4 linked regions of the Drosophila melanogaster genome follow. The protein of the gene in region 1 interacts with the protein of each later gene in a pairwise test. Each region holds a gene or a part of one and is shown in the gene's direction. Other genes may lie near its edges.

The links.
Region 2: the proteins of santa-maria (region 1) and CG17198 interact in a two-hybrid assay, tested with the Drosophila melanogaster proteins (one large-scale study listed by BioGRID).
Region 3: the proteins of santa-maria (region 1) and CG14511 interact in a two-hybrid assay, tested with the Drosophila melanogaster proteins (one large-scale study listed by BioGRID).
Region 4: the proteins of santa-maria (region 1) and CG34296 interact in a two-hybrid assay, tested with the Drosophila melanogaster proteins (one large-scale study listed by BioGRID).

The regions. Positions count from the first base shown.
Region 1 is NT_033779.5:7,445,188-7,453,177, reverse strand, and holds santa-maria (scavenger receptor acting in neural tissue and majority of rhodopsin is absent), read left to right. Parts: upstream 1-1,933; 5' UTR 1,934-2,229; exon of another isoform or gene 2,230-5,490; 5' UTR 5,491-5,530; coding exon 5,531-5,671; intron 5,672-5,876; coding exon 5,877-6,182; intron 6,183-6,242; coding exon 6,243-6,762; intron 6,763-6,824; coding exon 6,825-7,549; 3' UTR 7,550-7,823; downstream 7,824-7,990. Other genes in the region: Gr28a (gustatory receptor 28a), read left to right, coding at 1-458, 518-637.
Region 2 is NT_033777.3:25,772,796-25,777,250, reverse strand, and holds CG17198 (uncharacterized protein), read left to right. Parts: upstream 1-1,881; 5' UTR 1,882-1,969; coding exon of another isoform or gene 1,970-2,793; intron 2,794-2,851; exon of another isoform or gene 2,852-2,871; coding exon of another isoform or gene 2,872-2,919; coding exon 2,920-3,819; 3' UTR 3,820-3,917; downstream 3,918-4,455. Other genes in the region: CG17195 (uncharacterized protein), read left to right, coding at 70-921; CG17196 (uncharacterized protein), read left to right, coding at 1,045-1,875; CG17197 (uncharacterized protein), read left to right, coding at 1,970-2,793, 2,872-2,920.
Region 3 is NT_033777.3:29,145,148-29,148,803, reverse strand, and holds CG14511 (uncharacterized protein), read left to right. Parts: upstream 1-1,910; 5' UTR 1,911-2,002; coding exon 2,003-2,971; 3' UTR 2,972-3,126; downstream 3,127-3,656. Other genes in the region: Pglym78 (phosphoglyceromutase 78), read right to left, coding at 252-354; CG11882 (uncharacterized protein), read left to right, coding at 750-853, 924-1,611; superdeath (suppressor of ER stress-induced death), read right to left, coding at 3,306-3,531, 3,592-3,656.
Region 4 is NT_033777.3:29,720,656-29,723,568, forward strand, and holds CG34296 (uncharacterized protein), read left to right. Parts: upstream 1-1,882; 5' UTR 1,883-1,903; coding exon 1,904-1,952; intron 1,953-2,008; coding exon 2,009-2,235; 3' UTR 2,236-2,358; downstream 2,359-2,913. Other genes in the region: CG15506 (uncharacterized protein), read left to right, coding at 502-777, 988-1,590; Pcd (pterin-4a-carbinolamine dehydratase), read left to right, coding at 2,574-2,701, 2,783-2,913.

The DNA.
Region 1 (7,990 bases):
CCGTCATACGCCTCAATCCCGAATACGCAATCAAACAGGTGTCCAACATACACAATCTGCTCTGCGACATTTGCCAGACCATCGAGGAATACTTCACATATCCGCTGCTCGGAATCATAGCCATATCCTTTCTGTTCATTCTCTTTGATGACTTTTACATTTTGGAAGCCATTCTGAATCCCAAACGACTGGATGTCTTTGAGGCCGATGAGTTCTTTGCCTTCTTCCTGATGCAGCTCATCTGGTATATAGTGATCATAGTGCTGATCGTGGAGGGCAGCAGTCGGACTATTTTGCATAGCAGCTATACGGCAGCTATAGTTCACAAGATTCTCAATATCACCGATGATCCAGAACTCAGAGATCGACTTTTCCGTCTGTCCTTGCAGCTGTCGCATCGGAAGGTCCTTTTCACAGCCGCAGGACTTTTTCGTCTGGATCGCACACTGATTTTTACGGTGAACTAATGTTGAAAATAATTAAATATTTTATTTATTTAAGTGGTTAATTTTTGCAGATTACTGGTGCTGCCACGTGCTACCTCATTATCCTAATTCAGTTTCGATTCACACATCACATGGACGACACCAGCTCCAATTCAACAAATAATTTACATTCCATTCATCTCGGCGATTGATTAAAATTATATATACACATTAATCAATTAAATTTAAACATAAAGTGTCCTAACGTACAGATGAAAAATAAATTAAAGTTTTCCAGCTCGCAGTAAATTACATTTTTTATCCGTATTTTTTAAGTTATGATATAATATTTAAAGCAAGTAAACATTTCAATTGCACTTAATCAGTACGTTACGTATTCACGTAACGTAAGCCAATCGACAACAACAAGCTGGTTGCTACGTCACTGACTGTGTTGCTGGCTGACATGAGCTGCTTGAATTTCACTAATGAATTCAAATGGATAATGCTGGCCGAGACCCATTTCGAAGCTAAGGGCTGGCTTGACCCACTTCTGCTTGCTCCACTTCACAACATTGCAACATAATCTGCAGCGGTAACTGACTTTTGGCCACAACTGATAGCTAATCCCAGTTAGCACGCCATGTGAAAGGAGGCAAAAGACTAATCCAATAAGGAAGCCAGCCTGAATACGCACTGAAGCAATGACATTTTATTGTTTTATTGCCTCAGACTGCAATCCATGGGTGTTTTCTATGCCATTTGCTGGGGAGTTGTGCCCCTATGATAGCGAAATAAAACAAAAAAACAGTTGAAACTTTGCTCTGATCGCTTGTCGATTTTCGCAGCTTACAAGTGTGTGGGGTTAGTCGTGAATGTTCGCTGTTCACCCAGTGCTAATCATCACGATTAGCCGCATTGATAAGGCTTCGACAATTTGTTATCAATTCGGATTTCTACTTTACGATTTGTTTACTTTTCCACAAGCCACCCGATTCGTATGCGAAAATTCGCAGTTTTATGAAATCTAAGTGCATAGGAATTTCTTTCGCTGATTGTGATTTTTTGAAATGTGACCCAGTTATATTTGCTATTCGACTGAACAATAGAAAATATGTTGACTCTTTCAGTTCATTCATTTCATTTTTATATCATTTGATATTTATTAGATGTAAATATTTAAAAAATATATATATAAGAAACTAAAATATTTGTAAACGTATTTAACAAAGCAAATGGTTCAATTTAGATTATTTCCAAAAATTTATATAAAGATGGTGACACTGTTGTTTCTGACTACTTCTTCCCTTGGATGCATTCTACAGTTTTAAAGTCGTACTCGCGTTTCAGATTGTATATTGTTTAATTCAAAATTCAATGGCACAACTATGAAAAGCCCAAAGCGCAAATTAACCCAAACACCCACTCGCACACACACATACACACCGTTGCTCGGATACTCGGAGCTCTTCTCAAGCCCAATTCCATATACATTTCCATTTCCATGTGCCGCACTTGACTGACATTCATCGGCCGCCGAGACCGCTCCGCTCTGCTCGCGGTCCGTTCGCTGAGAGTCCGCCGCACAGTCGCATCGAAGCCGCCGGGCGAAGCGGTACCATTTTACGGCATTTCCCAGGGACTCGTGTCCACTTTTCCGGCCTCTGTGCAAAGAAATCATCCACGTGCTCAAGCGTTCTGTCCACATCCTTATCGAATTTCAATTTCCTCGCAAGGAAAATCAAAACGTAAAAAAAAAACCGAGGAGCCTGTGATTTGTTTCTATTTAGCAAATAAAAGTCAAGTGAGTGCCTTTAAAAGAAAATAAAGGAAATTTGGAAAGACAAAAGAAAACTCCTTTCGCAATATCACGTAATTTCTTAGCGCTTCCTGCTTTGTTAACACATTACGTTTTGGCTTGATTTGGCTTAATCGCCGGCAGACTTATTAAGATTACAGGTCATTAAATGAAATTAACTCGACAAGAATGAAAAATAGTCGCCAGACAGAAAACCAAATATATATGTATGTACAGTGGCAATCTATATTATACATTCTTTTTGTGTTTATACTGGCTTTGTGTGTCGTCTCCCTTTTGAAGAAATAAGAGTGCCGGAATGCAAAACAAAGGGCTTCCAGCTTGGACTACGAGGCGACCTGTTGATTGTGCGATTAATGGTCTAAAATTAGTCCCAGGGAAAACAGCTGCTCAGGAAAATATTAAGCATGCGCCCCGTTGACGAATTATGTTTTGTAGCTTGTATTTTTACATAAAACGAAATTGGGCGATGATAAATTATAATGAAAAAATAAAAAAATCTAGTATATGTTTTGGAATTTTCTGCAAAAGAACGGCAGCTGATCTTATTTGGTATATAAATAAAAAACAAAACAGTGGTGTACAAAACACATTGCGTATGCGACCTGTTAACCATTTAAAGTTCAAGATAATTAAATATCAACTTGCTCCCAACTAATTGCAGTTGCGTGTGCCTTTATAAGATAATAAATATCTGAAAAACAAATAATGTAAATACTCTAATAGAAAACCAACGAATGTCTTAAAAATTGCAAATTAAAATATTTATTTAAATTTTCTTTATTGTATGCAATAAAGAGCCAAAGAAACTTCACATTCATTTTCCAGCTATTCGCTAATTGAATAATCAATGCCCAGATTGGCGAATCCTCAATAAATACAGCTGTTCGTTGGCAAATTACTCATGGGACCCGTTTAAATATAGTTCAAGATAATCGAAACTAGCCCCTAATAGCATGTTCATTAAAGTTTCGTTTAAGAATTCAACTCATGCTGGACAATTAAAGTCAAATCAATTAATCAATTCACAATGAATTAATTAAAATCTCAAAGGGCTTAAACAACTTTAGTTAATACTGAAATCTTGGCTACGTAAAAGTGGCATTTAAAGAAATTTTTTGATTTAAAGTTCATTAAAAAGAAACAAAATAACTTTCTGCAGTTCAGGGACCTTTAAAAGTACCAAGCCTATTTACGGTTTAGCCTTTCGCTCTTTATTTATAGTTGTTGGCTTTTTTTTAAATCGTCGTGTGTATTTTCGTACTTGAAGGCTGCGAAAACTCAATTACATGCCGATAGCTCGTTATCAAAAAATACTCGCCCAAGCATATGTGAATTTGCGAACTGCGTCAAATCTGTAAGTTGCGGTTTATCTCAATGGCAGCCTTTGTGGTTAAATGGGGTTGAAAAACATCAGGAAAAACTGAGAAGGTGTTGACTTGTCTCACATCCAGTAGACGATCTTAAAGTATCGGGTTTACTGCGTCTGACTTAGTACTTAGAATTTCCGTTTCATATCAAGTGCACTTGCACTCAGGAAGTTAACGCCAAAAAGGCAGATAATTCTTGCTAGAATGTTTCAGAATGCATTCACTTTCGATGTGGCATCACTTCAGAGTTCAGTGTTCTCGGTGCATTTGCATAGAATATGAATAAAGCGTTCGGAGCATTCATAAAAATGTTAATATAGAAGATCAAGAACCAGAGAGTATGACAAGAGCATGCCTAATTTAATAATGAATCAAATATACCGGTCACTAAAATTTAAGCTTAATTAAACGCAATTATTCAGTGTTGCGGCTTCGAGCTTCAAGAGCGAATATCAAAGAACTGCACTGAAAAAAAAACGTATCTTGCTATAAATATTTTCTCACAAAAAGAGATATTCCTGCTAAAATCTCTTAGATTTCCATTCAAAATCTATCCTCGTTATGTGCGGTATTGCTCTTGATCTAATTGAATTAAGCGAAAAATGCGGGATGAACTCTACGTGATGCACCTGTCCAACGTCCATTTCAATTAAAACTCACTTCAGATTAATTGTGAAGACAATAAAAAGGCGCCGACAAATGCTCGACAGCTATTCATCATTCAAAAGACATAATCATATCAATTTACCAGACACCAACCAGAACACAACTGACACGCTCCCAAATAAGCATATATATATGTATATATGTGTATATATATATATAGATTCCTACTCGTATTCATGTGCAATAACGCAAAGTGTCAAAGACCCAACCATAGCTCACTGCGGGGTCAATTGATAGACTCAATTATGACGATATATCACAGAGATGCGAACCTGTGGCATATGTACGTACATATGCAATATTTATGCTCAAGTGATACATAGTGTTTGGTGATGGGAACTCTGGGCAGATTGGTCAAATAATTGCCAGAGGATGGATTCCCGATAAGCGATAAGTGCAGTGCAGTTCAATTTCCTCAATTGTCTGTGGCTTCCTCATGGGTCTGTTTACCTAAGAGTTCAGAATCCGCTTATCGGACCACAGTGAATGCCCCATATAGGAAAATTCGCCTACCGAATGCGATCATAAAATATTTTATCCACATTCATGCATGTTATTCGTAAACGAAATGGATAATTACACGTATTGCTTGCAATGCAGCTTCAAACTATCATAACTAATTAAAACACATCATCGTTGAGTGTCGGGGGAAGCTTTGTAATTATCACCACTGATAGGGGATTCGACTATAGTTCTGTATATATGTACACATATACTTACCGGACTTAGTATATTCTACATGAGTGTAAACAGCAATTGAAAGTCACGCTTTGCTTAAATTGATTCAATTATATTGATAAAAATAGACGCTATGGGAATTCGTCACTCAATAAAATGCTGCGCTTTTTGCATTTTATTTGTATTCAATTCTTTGTTGATTTCTTTGTTCGCCATACTTATATTAATATGTGACTTGATGCATCTGTTAATAAGAGATTTGATTCTACATTTTTTTTATTCTTTAACTAGCACTGCCTGAAAGTAGGCAACATGAACATGAGTTCACAAAATAATATTGTGTAAAGTTATATTTTAAATTATTGTATTATGATTTGTTCATAATGATTTTATAATAGAAAACTTATCAGTACATTCTCAACTTGCACTACATTTATGAGTTCTTTCATTTGATCCATTTTTATATGTTGGCAAATAGACTATCAATTTATCCATTTTCATTGATGTTTCAATGACTTGCATATCATTACAGCCACCATTAGGTATCCACACACCATCGCCCAGCGTGAGCCATGCCAACACAAAACAGCGCAATGTGGGGCCAAAAAAGTAATCGCAAATTAATTATCGGCATTTTCGGCTTTTGCCTGGGACTATTTGGCATATTGTGCGGCATGTTCTGGGTGGACCTGTTCGATTGGATCATGCACAAGGTAATCCCAGTCATTGACAGAGGTTCAGTTAAGTTCATTTCACTTCACTCCAGTGTTAGCCCGGCCAGCTGCATTCGATTAGTGGCTAAAGCCAATTGAAAGTCAAAAGAAAAACAGCCGCCTCTCAATTGGCGCGAGTCAAAGATCGAGGAAAACTCGTTGAGATTTTCAATTAATACCAATTGCGGCTTCTGTTCTTCGACAGGAAATGGCTCTGGCCCCCGACACACGTGTCTATGAAAATTGGAAGAGTCCGCCAATTGATCTCAGTCTGGACATCTACCTGTACAACTGGACGAATCCGGAGGATTTCGGCAACCTTTCCACAAAGCCCATTCTGGAGCAGGTGGGTCCTTATCGTTTTATCGAGCGACCCGATAAGGTGGACATTCACTGGCATCCAGAAAATGCATCCGTCACTTATCGCAGGCGCAGCTTGTTCTACTTTGATGCGGCGGGCAGTAATGGCAGCCTGGACGATGAGATTACCACGCTTAATGCAGTGGCTCTGGTAAGTATCCTATTCCCTTTTATTACATAATATAACTATAACTATACATTTCCATTTCAGTCTGCAGCCGCCACAGCCAAATATTGGCCACCAGTTAAGCGCTCCCTTGTCGATGTGGGACTAAAGATGTACGGTGCCGAGATGTCTGTCCAAAAATCGATCGATGAGCTGCTCTTCACCGGTTACAATGACGCAATGATCGACGTGGCCATGGCCATGCCCATTTTTGGTGATGAGGTGAAGGTTCCATTCGATAAGTTCGGTTGGTTCTATACGCGCAATGGAAGTGCCGATCTTACCGGAGTTTTTAATGTCTTCACTGGCGCCGATCAACTGGCCAAACTGGGTCAGATGCACTCGTGGAATTACCAGGAGAACACTGGATTCTTTGATTCCTATTGCGGTATGACCAATGGATCCGCCGGGGAGTTCCAGCCACAGCATCTGAAGCCCGGCGATAGTGTTGGTCTATTTACGCCCGATATGTGCCGAACTATTCCGCTGGATTATGTGGAAACTGTGGATATTGAAGGACTGGAAGGTTATAAATTCTCAGGCGGACCACGATCTGTAGATAATGGTGAGTCTTGATAAGAATTGATTAATTGTGAGTACCCATTCTATTAGAGATTTATATTTCAGGCACCCAGTATCCTGAGAACCTTTGTTTTTGTGGTGGCCAATGTGTTCCGTCGGGTGTGATGAACATCAGTTCCTGTCGCTTTGGATCTCCTGTTTTTATGTCCTATCCACACTTTTTCAACGCCGATCCTTACTACCCAGATCAGGTAGAGGGCTTGAGTCCTAACCAGAAGGATCACGAGTTTTATATGGTTGTGCAGCCAAGTACTGGTATTCCCCTGGAGGTGGCTGCCCGATTTCAAGTGAATATGCTCGTGGAGCCAATCCAAGGCATTAGCTTATACACTGGAATACCAAGGATATTTTTCCCACTCGTATGGTTCGAACAGAAAGTAAGAATCACTCCAGATATGGCAGATCAACTGAAGGTGCTGCCCATTGTCATGCTCTCCGGACATATATTCGCCGGAATTTGCTTGATCGTAGGCATAACTCTACTCTGCTGGACTCCGGTTCAGATTCTATTGGCTTCCTGTCGAAATCGTAGATACGATCTGAGGACCAAAACCAAAACGAATGGCCAGTATAAGAGTCGCTCTCAATTCTCCAGTGCTGAGGAACTGAAGTCCAAGGCCTCCACTTTGGTGTGCGAAAAGAGTGTCAAAGGATCTCCGGACAGTTCTCCGCTCCTCGAAAAAGGCCGTAAGCCAACCATTATTAAATCCCAGACGGGTGAAAGTGTGGCCACTGCATCCACAGCCATCAGCGACAATAAGCAGGATTGAACAGAACCGCCACATTCACGCCATTTAGATAGTTAAGCCGTCCTAGTGCTTTAGTCGTAGCTCATAGTTTAGTGACACTCTAAAACACCCAACTGAAAATTGCAAGCATTCCCGTGCCTATGCCAAAGATTAGATAGCCTTCGAAGTCGAAACGTCTGGTGGACTTCGCTTAGCTAACGAATACTCTTTTTACATTCCTTAGTTATTAGATATGTTTTGTATTAAAATGATTTCTTGACCCATGGCTTTCGTGTCAAATAAAATCTTCAACTACAAAGGAAATTATCATTTTAGTAGGTTAAGTGGGTAAGATTGCACATAACTATTTTTATTTCATTACAGCTCACAACGTTTGTTTTGAATTTTAACAACATTTTTTTCATCTTTATTAGTTCAATAACAATTATACAAAATATATAGTATATATGGTATCCACTTTAA
Region 2 (4,455 bases), on another chromosome or scaffold:
CTTCTTCTGTGATGTAAATGTTTCTATTTAGTCTATAATTTACAACAGAAGTTTTCAAAATCCTAAAAAATGTGCTACGTGAATAGATTTTGCCATTACTTTGCCAATCGCTACCCGAAGAACTTTGTGAGGATAGTGCATCCACTTTCGATAGTTTTCGTCCTGTGCAGCACAGCTTTCTTCTTCTCACTGCAGATGTTTTACATTGCGCCCAAAGTGTTTGGCGACATTGCTTACAAGCTCTACTGGATATTGGTCACCTTCATAACGCACAACATACTTGGTAACATGCTGGCCTGCTATATGACTAGCTCATCGGTAAACACCTTGTCCAAGGACTCCCGATGCCCGAATCCAGAGGATGAGCCCCTGTGGCACTATTGCGAATCGTGTAAAAAGCTGAGATCGCCACGATCCTGGCACTGCGTTTTGTGCAACACCTGCATTTTGAGACGGGACCACCACTGTATATTCACGGGCACTTGCATTGGACACAATAATCAACGCTTTTTCTTCTGGTTCACATTTTATTTAACGCTCGGCTTAGTCACAAGCTTTGCAACATTTTGTATGTTTATCCTGCAGAATGGCGGTAACTTCATGAGTCTCTCGTCTGTGATTTTTAATTTAATAACTAGGACTTTTTTCCAAAATTATACTGGCAATACTTTTGAGACCATTGCCTTCCTCTTGAATATAAGCGCCAGCTATATGCCTGCCTTTATGTTGGCATATCAAATGCAGATTTTAAGCCAAAACTCTACCTACTATAATATTTTTGATTGCACCTACGATCTGGGTTTCCGAAAGAACTGCCAGACAATAATGGGCCAACGAGGACTTTGGACTTTTATATCGCCCTTGCTGAAGAGTCCTTTGCCCCATGACGGTGCACATTGGCAGATGAAGCAGTCTCACTAAATTAATAGACGTATTACTAAATTATTGAAAAATATATATCGATTTTAACAAGCCAATCATAACTTATTTTCATCTAATGTCAAGTTGTGGAAAATACGGTGTTGTATTCAAAATCCTACAATCATGTGTATCGTAAATGATTGGTGCCGCGAATATGCCAATCTCTATCCTAAGAAGGCCGTGAGCATAGGACATCCTTTGTCAGTGATTTTTTTACTGGTGAGCACGGTTTTTTTCTTCACGCTGCAGGTCTTTTATGTGGCCCCCGATGTGCATGATGGTTTTATGTATAAGTTCTTTGTGATATCAGCGATTTTTACAACATACAATATCCTGGGAAACTTGCTGGCCTGCTACCGTACAAGCTCAGCAGTGAAAAGTCTGCCTCAGGAGCGGCAAATTCCGAAACCGGGAACGGAGCACCTGTGGCATTATTGCGATATCTGTCAGAAACTGATGCCTCCACGATCCTGGCACTGTGCACTGTGTAAATGCTGCATTTTGAAGCGAGACCACCACTGCATCTTCGCAGCCACTTGCATCGGACACAATAATCACCGATATTTCTTCTGGCTTACATTCTATTTGGCATTTGGGATTTTCATGAGCATGGCAACCCTATTTGTTGATGTGGGAAGGAGCTTTTATCTTTTGCACAGAATGAAGGCTGGTTTTGGAAACACAGTAAAATCTTTAAGTTACTTTCGGTACGTGTGCTTGATTCTCAATATATTTGCCCTCGGATTCCCTGCCCTCATGTTGAGATTTCAAGTGCAGATTCTAAAGTTAAACTCAACGTACTATCAAATTTCCAGTCGCCATCACGATTTGGGTTTCCGAAATAACTGCCAGCTTATTATGGGTCAGCGAGGACTCTGGACTTTTATATCTCCCTCGCTGAGAAGTCCTTTGCCGCATGATGGAACTCACTGGAAAATTAAGCAATGTTTTTAAAGAAAATTTTTACGTAATGCTTAACTCGTCAACATCAAATCAGAAAACACAAGCTTACACTCTGAATTATATATAATTTTAAAATCGGAAAATTATGTGTTTGATATGGGCCTGCACCAAGTACTTGGCGCGTCGAAATCCAAAGATATTCGTTCGAATCTCCCATCCGACCGCAGTACTATTCGTAATCGTGACAACGATCTTTTTTGTGGTCCTGCAAATGTTTTACGTGGTACCCCAATTGTTTGATGTTCAAGGATTCATGTACAAGCTCGGCTGGCTAGTGGCAATCTTTATAACATATAATATCTTTGGCAATATGCTTGCGTGTCATATCACAAGCACTTCGGTGGAGAGCCTGCCAAAGGATCGGCAAATTCCGGAGCCGGAAGAGGAGCACCAGTGGCATTACTGCGATGTTTGTGAAAAACTAATGCCTCCAAGATCCTGGCACTGTATATTGTGCAAGTGCTGCATTCTGAAGCGGGACCGCCACTGCATTTTCACTGCCAGTTGCGTCGGACACAATAATCAGAGATACTTTTTCTGGTTCACCCTCTTCATGGCTTTGGGAACTGGTGTGGCCTTGGCTACCCATATTATTGCCACCCTAAAGTATTTTAGCTATTCGGACCTGATATTCCTAAATATCCCTAGGGATAACTTACCTCCATTTTGGCTGGTCATCACTCTTATACTAAACACCTACGTATTTGCAGCCCCTGTATCTTCGGTGCTTATGCAATTATCTGTACTTAAAAATAATGGCACTTTGCATAAGTTTTACAGTGATACCTACGATCTGGGCTTGTGGGAGAATTTCAAGCTGATTTTGGGCGGAAAAGGCTTTTGGACTTTCCTCTCACCCACCGTTAAGAGTCCTCTGCCCCATGATGGTGCCCAGTGGAAGATCAAACGGTACGACATCAGCAAGTTTAAAAATTTTAACTATATTGAAACTGACATGATATACCACCTTTTGTATTTTAATCATAGTGTTCAGCATCATTCACCAAAATTACAGTTTCTCCGTGTATCCGATTGATGAAAATTTCTCATGTATTTGTACAGCTTCGGGGCATCATGCAATCACAAGTTCAAATGCAGACCATCAACATCCCAAGACGCGTGGGGGCCATCAAATCCTGGACAGATATCATGGGAGTATCCATAAATGTCTGCATAATCTTGTTTTTCTACTTCTTCGAAGCTTTCTACGTAATGCCACAGTTTTTGGGATTGTTTGGACAGGCGGTTCATTTTTTAGTCACCACTTGGATTGTCTACAATATTCTGGAAAACTTAAGGCTGTGCGTCACGACGTTGAACACTGTGGACTCTTTGCCGCCGCAAATGCAGCAGCCAATGAAAGGTGAAGAGCACCTGTGGCATTTTTGCAAAATATGCCAAAGGAATGTACCGCCAAGGTCCTGGCACTGCAACATCTGTGATGCGTGCATTCTGAAACGCGATCACCACTGCAATTTTGTGGGCAACTGCGTGGGACACAATAATCAGCGATATTTCATATGGTTCTCATTTTACGCGGCCATCGGTAGCGCAGTGGCCTTATTTGATAACTTCATGTTGGCCCATAAGCACGGTGTTGGATTTTTTGATTTAGTCAAAGCCAATTACATTATTTTTAATGCTTACATGAATCCTGGTAGAAAAGAATTAGTGATATTCTATCGAATAGTCAGTGTCTTAGGTGTCAACATATTCGCCGTTCTCTTTCCAGCAGCACTGTTTTGCACCCAAGTAGTGACGGTCATCAAAAACTCAGTAATGCACGATTATTCTGATCGAACCTATGACCTTGGATTAGGGAATAATTTGACCCTGATCCTGGGAAGTCGGCGATTATGGACTTGCCTATCGCCAAATATCAAAAGTCCCCTGCCCCACAATGGCACCCGATGGAAATCGAAGCGTGCCGTCTAGTCCAAATTTGATATCATCTATCTATTCTTGACCATTAAGATTATATTCTATTTCCGTTATGTTGTATTTGTCGCTAAATAAAGAATGTAATAGACTATAAATAACACGGACAATTTTCTTAGTTCAAAAATAAACGTGTAAAGGTGTACAGTGACTTTATATCTATGTATAAAAATTGAATGCAGACAAAACACAAAACAAAAACAATTCGCCTAGATAGAAGTCCTTAATTCAAGCCATAAACGCCCTACATTTGCATATCTCTCCGCCCACGAAAATTGCTGAGAAGTACATCCTGCCCAACGAAATCAACCTCAAATCTGTCCATGGCTTGTGACACCTTCTGCCGCAAGTCGAAAACACTTGTCAAGTGTCGAAAAAAGCTGAAATCCGTTTTGAAAAATGAAAGCGGCTAGAACAACAGCTCGGTCGGTATAGACAATTCATGGGAGTCCAGGGGGCTGGGAAATGGTAGAATTAATGACGGCGCATGCCAGTGACATGCCCCAAAACATGGAATCAAAGTCCATGAGTGGGCGTTTCCGTGTTTCGGTGCATGAAAAATGTTCGAGGTGCGAAATCTGCTGCGAGGTCTAAACAACATAATTGCCAAATAAAAAAGTCGCCGCCGGCTCA
Region 3 (3,656 bases), on another chromosome or scaffold:
AACAAACTAGAATTTTGATGCTTCTGAAAATTGCACTGGAAAGCTTTTGTTTGTAGAGACCTATTTTTATCACAGAAAAGTTTGAATGAGATAATGTTGCACTAGGTCAATGAAGATTAATTTGGGTAAATGAAAAGGAATACTATTGTGAAACTGATCAAAGCAAAGGATCATCGATTGGAAACTAGATGTACATCAGATTTTTAATCCCACATATGAGGTTTAAATTTCAAATTGATGTAATCACTCACCCTTTTCGCTGAGGTTGGCGTCGTACCAGCCGCAGAACTGATTCTTCTGGTTCCACTCGGACTCGCCGTGGCGCACCATCACGATCTTGTACTTGCCGCCCATTTTAGCTGCGTTGATCACTCTGCGGATAATTGTGTACTCGTTCTTAAGCTGCCGCCTTGCTGCGACTGCAATATGTGGGAATTCTGCTGAAGTTTGACCTACAAGGGAGCCGTCCAAGGTCGCAGCTGTCAGGCCGCGATATTGCCGTTCTGTTGGAAAAACGTAGTGCGCAGATGCGGTGCCTTCTCTGATTGGACTCCGGAGTATGGTCTTATTGGAATAGCGCGTCAAGCTACCTTCAAATGTCCAATTAGTTTGCGCTGTGCAACAGGTTGGCATCCCCCGCGCAGATGTTATCGCTCGCGTTTGTCATCACTATATTCGTGTTTTGGTTTTTAAATTTGGCTGTTTTTAAATTTTGCTCCCATAAATTCCAACTTTTTGTCACTTAAAGCATGTGCGAAAAGGTCACCGCGCGCTGCACTTGGCCCCAGCTGTCGGGCAACGGGCTGGACCAACTGGTGGCCACCCGCTTGTCCGACGAAGACGTCTTTGTGAAGTGAGACAAAGGATTCCACGCCCCGAAACTGGTTTTTATCAAGTAATTTTGAAACCTCCTTTGTCCGCAGGCCCGACTTGGACGACGTGATCGACGAGAATCGCGCCGTGCTGTTTTCCATGCAGTCGGCGGATCCGCCGCCGCCTTGTGAGCTGCGCTTCCAGATCCCGAACCGCTTCAAAATCGCCGCGCTCACCCTGATTTGCAGCGCTCCCAAGGTGGAGCTGTTCATTGGACCCTTGCAGGAGTACTGCGAGACCATCTACGGCACTTGCGTCGACGATGAGGACCCAGAGGTTGCGGTGCGACCCTATCGCTATGACATGGAAATCGACCGATCCGGGATAAATGACATAAACCTGAAGATGCTCACCTCGGCCAGCGAGATCTGCGTTTACGGAGCCCTGCTCCAGGTGGCGCCGAATCCCAACGGCATAACCACCCAGTTGCCCAGGCCAATGGATGCGCAGCGAATCCAAGAGCTGCTGCAAAGGGGTGGCACGAGTCCCTTGAAGAAGGAGGAGCAGGCCGAAAAGTTCGAGCAGTTCATGAGCCTGATGAAGGGCTATTCCCCGCAGGCGAAGGACCAAACCCAAGAGACTGCACCGCCTTCCACCGATGTTGCAATCCTCAAGGAGCACATCGACATGAGATTTGAGAAGCTGACGCTGTTAGTGTCTAAGAGACTGGACAACTTCGAGGCCCAGCAGACGGAAAAGTTAAACAAAATTATTGCCTTGCTGGAAAAGGAAAAATAAGTAATATACCATTAATTTGCTAATCTGTAATTTCTTTCTTAGCATTGTCATCATTGTATTTTGTAATTGTTGTAAAAGACTGTTGGTGCGAATATTTCGAATGTGATTAGGCAACATATTTAAGTTTGGTTTTGAATGTAATGTACATTAAATAAAATATTCTTCTCTTAAAATCATAAATTTTTTCTTTTTCGCTTGGAATATTTGAATTTCAACCACTTTCGATAGACCAACATCAGCTGTGCCCGAACCGAACTTTATCGATAACCACCTGTTGCATTTGTTTACGTTTTGTATGGCCGAAGAGAAAGTAAGTTGGCTTAAAAGCTCGTCATGGCCCAGATCGTAGGTTAAAGTTGGTGGGAATCGTCTACTTTCGTTGCGCGAGTTCATGAATTTATCCATCCGCGCTATTTCGGCCATCTGCGGCGTTTTCTTGGGCTGCTGCAGTGGCGTCGTCTTCTTGGAGCTCCTGGTTAAACTGGATCCCGGCGCTGGAAACCTTATAACTGGCGCCCAGTTTGCATTTATTGCCCTCGAGGGCTTCATCTTCACCTCGAAGTTTGGCCTGGCCCAGAGAGTGATCAGCCTGCGCGACTATGCGCTCCTCGTGGCCATGTTTTTCCTGACCAGCGTATGCAACAACTACGTGTTCAAGTTCAAAGTTCCAATGACACTGCACATGATCATACGCGGCGGTTCGCTGATCTCCAACATGTGCCTGTGCACGTTGATCCTGAAGAGGAGTTACCGGTTGAGTCAGTACATATCGGTGCTCATGATCAGCGTGGGCATTTTCGTCTGCACATATTTCTCCAGTCCGGATTTGGTGGGTAAGATGGAGAATTTGGATAGTGGCGCCGAGGCGGATACGTTCTGGTGGCTGTTGGGCGTGGCACTCTTGGTGCTGGCTCTATTTGTTTCCTCCTACATGGGAATTACACAGGAGTTGCTGTATCGACGTCATGGCAAGTGCGCCAGGGAAGCGTTGTATTACACCCACCTGTTGCCGCTGCCCGCCTTCCTGCTCATGCATGACGACATACGGACGCACTGGCTTTTGGCGTTCACGGGCGAGTCCTACCAGTTGCCCCTCCTGGGCGTGGCAGTGCCCCTAATCCTGCTATACTTATTGGGCAACGTGCTTGCGCAGCATTTGTGCATCAGCTCCGTTTACACCCTGACCACGGAGTGCAGCTCGCTGACGGTGACTCTGATCCTCACACTCCGCAAGTTCATCTCGCTGGTCTTTTCGATCGTATACTTCCGAAATCCCTTCACCTGGTGGCACTGGCTGGGCACCGCGCTAGTCTTTGTGGGCACCTTGATGTTTGCAAATGTGATCAGAGTTCCGAAATGAAAAAACCAGGCTGTGAAACAGGAATAGGCTTTCCAAAACTTTTTTGTGACGAACAATGTTATAATTCCATTTACATTTACAATTACATTTAAGTACAAATTAAAATTACAAGACTCATAATTGTTATGAAAAGAAGGCATACATTAAAAGTAATGAAAAACGTGATGCTCTGGACGATCTGCCAAGGGCTTTCTCTCTTTGGCGACTCTGAATTGGTAAAACACGCGACATAAATATTACACATAAATGCATTGGTGGCCCAACCCATGCAGTTGCAGCTGCGAAATCTAATACTGCTGCAGCCTTGATCCAGCCAAGCCGCAGAATCCGTTCCTTACGCTTGCGCCTCGTTCTCCAGCCACCGCACGATCGACTTGTAGTTCTTGTTCATCCAGTCGACGCTGGTCTCGATGTGCTCCACGATCTGTTGCACGGGTCTGTCGTAGTCCCAGTGGGCGTCCTTCACGAAGTTCTCAAATTCGCCCAGCTGGAACTTGGAGTTGAAGCCCTTCGTGGCGAACTTGAACAGCGTGTGGATGCTGGACATCTGTGAGCCCATGCTGGAAAAAATGCAAACCCTTTAGTAATGCACGGAATAAAGCGACAATTTCGCCACTTACTAGGTCTTGATCTCCTGCCAGTTGTTGCGCAGAAAATCAAAGGCTATGTTCTGGCCCACTACCGT
Region 4 (2,913 bases), on another chromosome or scaffold:
CTTTTTTCGCTCAGTGTAAGAGGTAGCAGCGCCGTCCGGTTCGATCGGCTACTCCGTAATCCAATTAAAGGAACAATCTACATTTCAATTCAAAACTAATGAAGTGTAGAGAATTCGCAACAAAGGCTGACATGTGTTGATTGTTTCGACGACTGCAGTGCTGGTATTTGAAAGTCGTGGGTTTCTTCTGACTCCATATAGTCCATACAGACACGTAATACCTGGCTTTTTAAAGCCATTACTAACAAGCTTCCCTGTAGAGCACCCAGAGTTCCAGCTGCACAACTTCCGTCCAGCACAAGCACACATTGTGCGTAGTCCAAACAATTCATTGATTGATTGTCGATATGGCGATCAATTAGACAGATTATGGTTTTCATTGATCGCCATCCAGCAGCAGTAGTGACAAACCCAGGGACAGCTGTCAATGGTCACTTGTATCTACTTCTATATGCACAATATATAAACGCCGACTTCGATTTCGATTTCTATTCTCGGCAGCACACCATTTTGATTCTCCTACTGCTACTGGGACTTGTTCTGTGGACCGATTCCTCGCTGGCCGCCCGTCGCCTGAGGAAGAAGCCCAAGGTCTACAACGCTCTCATCACCACCGACGACAACCTGACCTCCAGCCGCGCCTATCCGGTCATCCAGCCCACCATTCACGAGCCGGGCTACGCCCCCTTTGGACCCTACAATCCCTACGGATTCTACAGTCCGCCGATTGTGAGATTCGGCCAACCGATTGTCCCGGGATTGACGCCAAATGAGAGGGTGAGCTTATGGGTTTCATTAAGTTGCTAACACTGATAAACTTAGCGAAATATTTCGCAAGATTAAATTACTGCTAGCTATAATAAGACAATGATTAATTTAATAATAGGTATCATAAAAAGCTCACTCTAGAAATCTCTGACTAGAGCAATGAACCGCACTCAAAAAAGAAATATAGTAGTTTAAACTATTGAAACCTTAATATTACAGCTCCCTTACCCTCTGCCATCTGCCGCCCAGTATCCCGCTGGCTATGCTCCATATGAACCCCAACAACCGGTGGAGGCGCCAGTGGAGCAGCAGCCGCAGTCGGCGTCGCCACCCGGAACCGTGGAGCGCCAGGAGATGCCCAAGGAGCAGATGCCAGTGCCGTTGAATCAGCAGGGATTGCCGCCCGTGCTGATACCACTGCCCTCCCAGTTCAGAGGCCAACCCATGCACCTGCCACCGTATCCTTACAGCCAGTATCCAGTGATCTATGACCAAGCGGGCTTCATAAGGCAGAACTACTTGCCGCCGTACGACTACTATCCCAGCCAGGGTTATCCCCTGCGGGCAGCCACTTTGCCGCGCGCGGAGCAGGAACAGCCACTGAATCCCGTCCAGAGTCCACCTTCGCCACAGCCACTTCCCCTGGAGAATCTGGAGCCGGCGCAGCCCAGTTTCGAGGACATTCGCAACGGTTCGGAGAGCAAAAACAGCGCGGTGCCGGATGTTCCACCTCCGCCAATACCCTCCGGACCCAAGCGTCCACGGCCCGCGGAACCGGAACCGGAACCGGAAGCGGAACGCAAACCGGAAACGGACAACTGATTGCGGGCTGACCAAAATTCCACACACGTATTTATTACCATTTCGCTTAGGCATAATATCGATTCGATTGTACAATGTCGCCTTAACCCGTAAGCTAAAGTAAGAGTTCATTCAGAGATAACGAATAAAAAACATAAAATCGCACTGGCGGTGATTGAACTTGGATGGATGTTCCCCAGTTCCCCAGGGAAACCAGGGGACGATTTCGCTTTCGTCGGGGAATTGGGAGCCGTTTATCTCAGCTCTGATGGGACTATAAAGGCAGTCGAGTTGCCGGGAAAAGTTACAGTTAACATCGAAAGGGGAACTCAGAATGAAGCTGGCCCTGCTCCTGATCCTCTGCTGTTGCCTCATCGGAATGGGTGAGCTACAACTTTGGTCTTTGGATACCCAATGAATAACAATATCCAATATGCAGCGATTGGTGACTCGGTTTTGGTGACCAAGCCGCCGTTCATTCGCAGTCGCTATAGCTTGCGTTGGAGGAAGACAACCACTGTGGCGCCTGAAGTGGTCACTGGATCCAGTGGATCAACCGTTAACACGGTCACCACCACCGACCATCCCAAGCTGGCCACTTCCACCGCCAGTTCGGATTACGACTATTACGGAAATGGGGAGACGGAGAATGTGGTGCACAAGTAATAGTCATATTCCAGCCATATGACTATATATTAACACTTGATATAATCAGAGCGACTTTAATGTCATAACAATGTAAGAGAAGGCCATTTAATAAATAAACTGTATGTCAAATCTCTAGAAATCAATAAGAAATCCAATAAGAAATCTAAATTCAAATTACGCGGCATTAGACTTTATAACAGTTATGTTGCTAGCAGACGTTGTCAAAACAAGTTGGCAGTTTTTACAGCTCCATGTTAACTCAATGTTAGCTAACATACGACACAAGTCAGCTGTTCCGCGCCGACAGCAACAGCAACAAAAACAGCAGCTAAGAACAAACGAGTTTTGGATCGAAAATGTTGTTAACAATTAAATGCGCTCAGAATGTGATTAAGCCGAACTGCCAGAAAGTGGCCAATCTGCTTGCCAGCAGCCGCAGAGCTGGTTTATTCCCCACAACTGCAACAACAGCAACGAGTAGAAGGTATTCAAAAGGTGGAATGTGCGGAAGGGGAGGGAGGGGCAAAAATACCAAACTTAAATCTGAGCTTTATTTTTCGCGCAGCCTGTCGCAAATCTCAGTTCTGTATTCGCCAGCAGCGAGAGAAGCAGCACGGGCAGCAACTGGTGGCAGTGCGAATCTCCGGAGAATCCACAACACCCCAACCACAGAAGCAACAGCAACCGCAATCACAG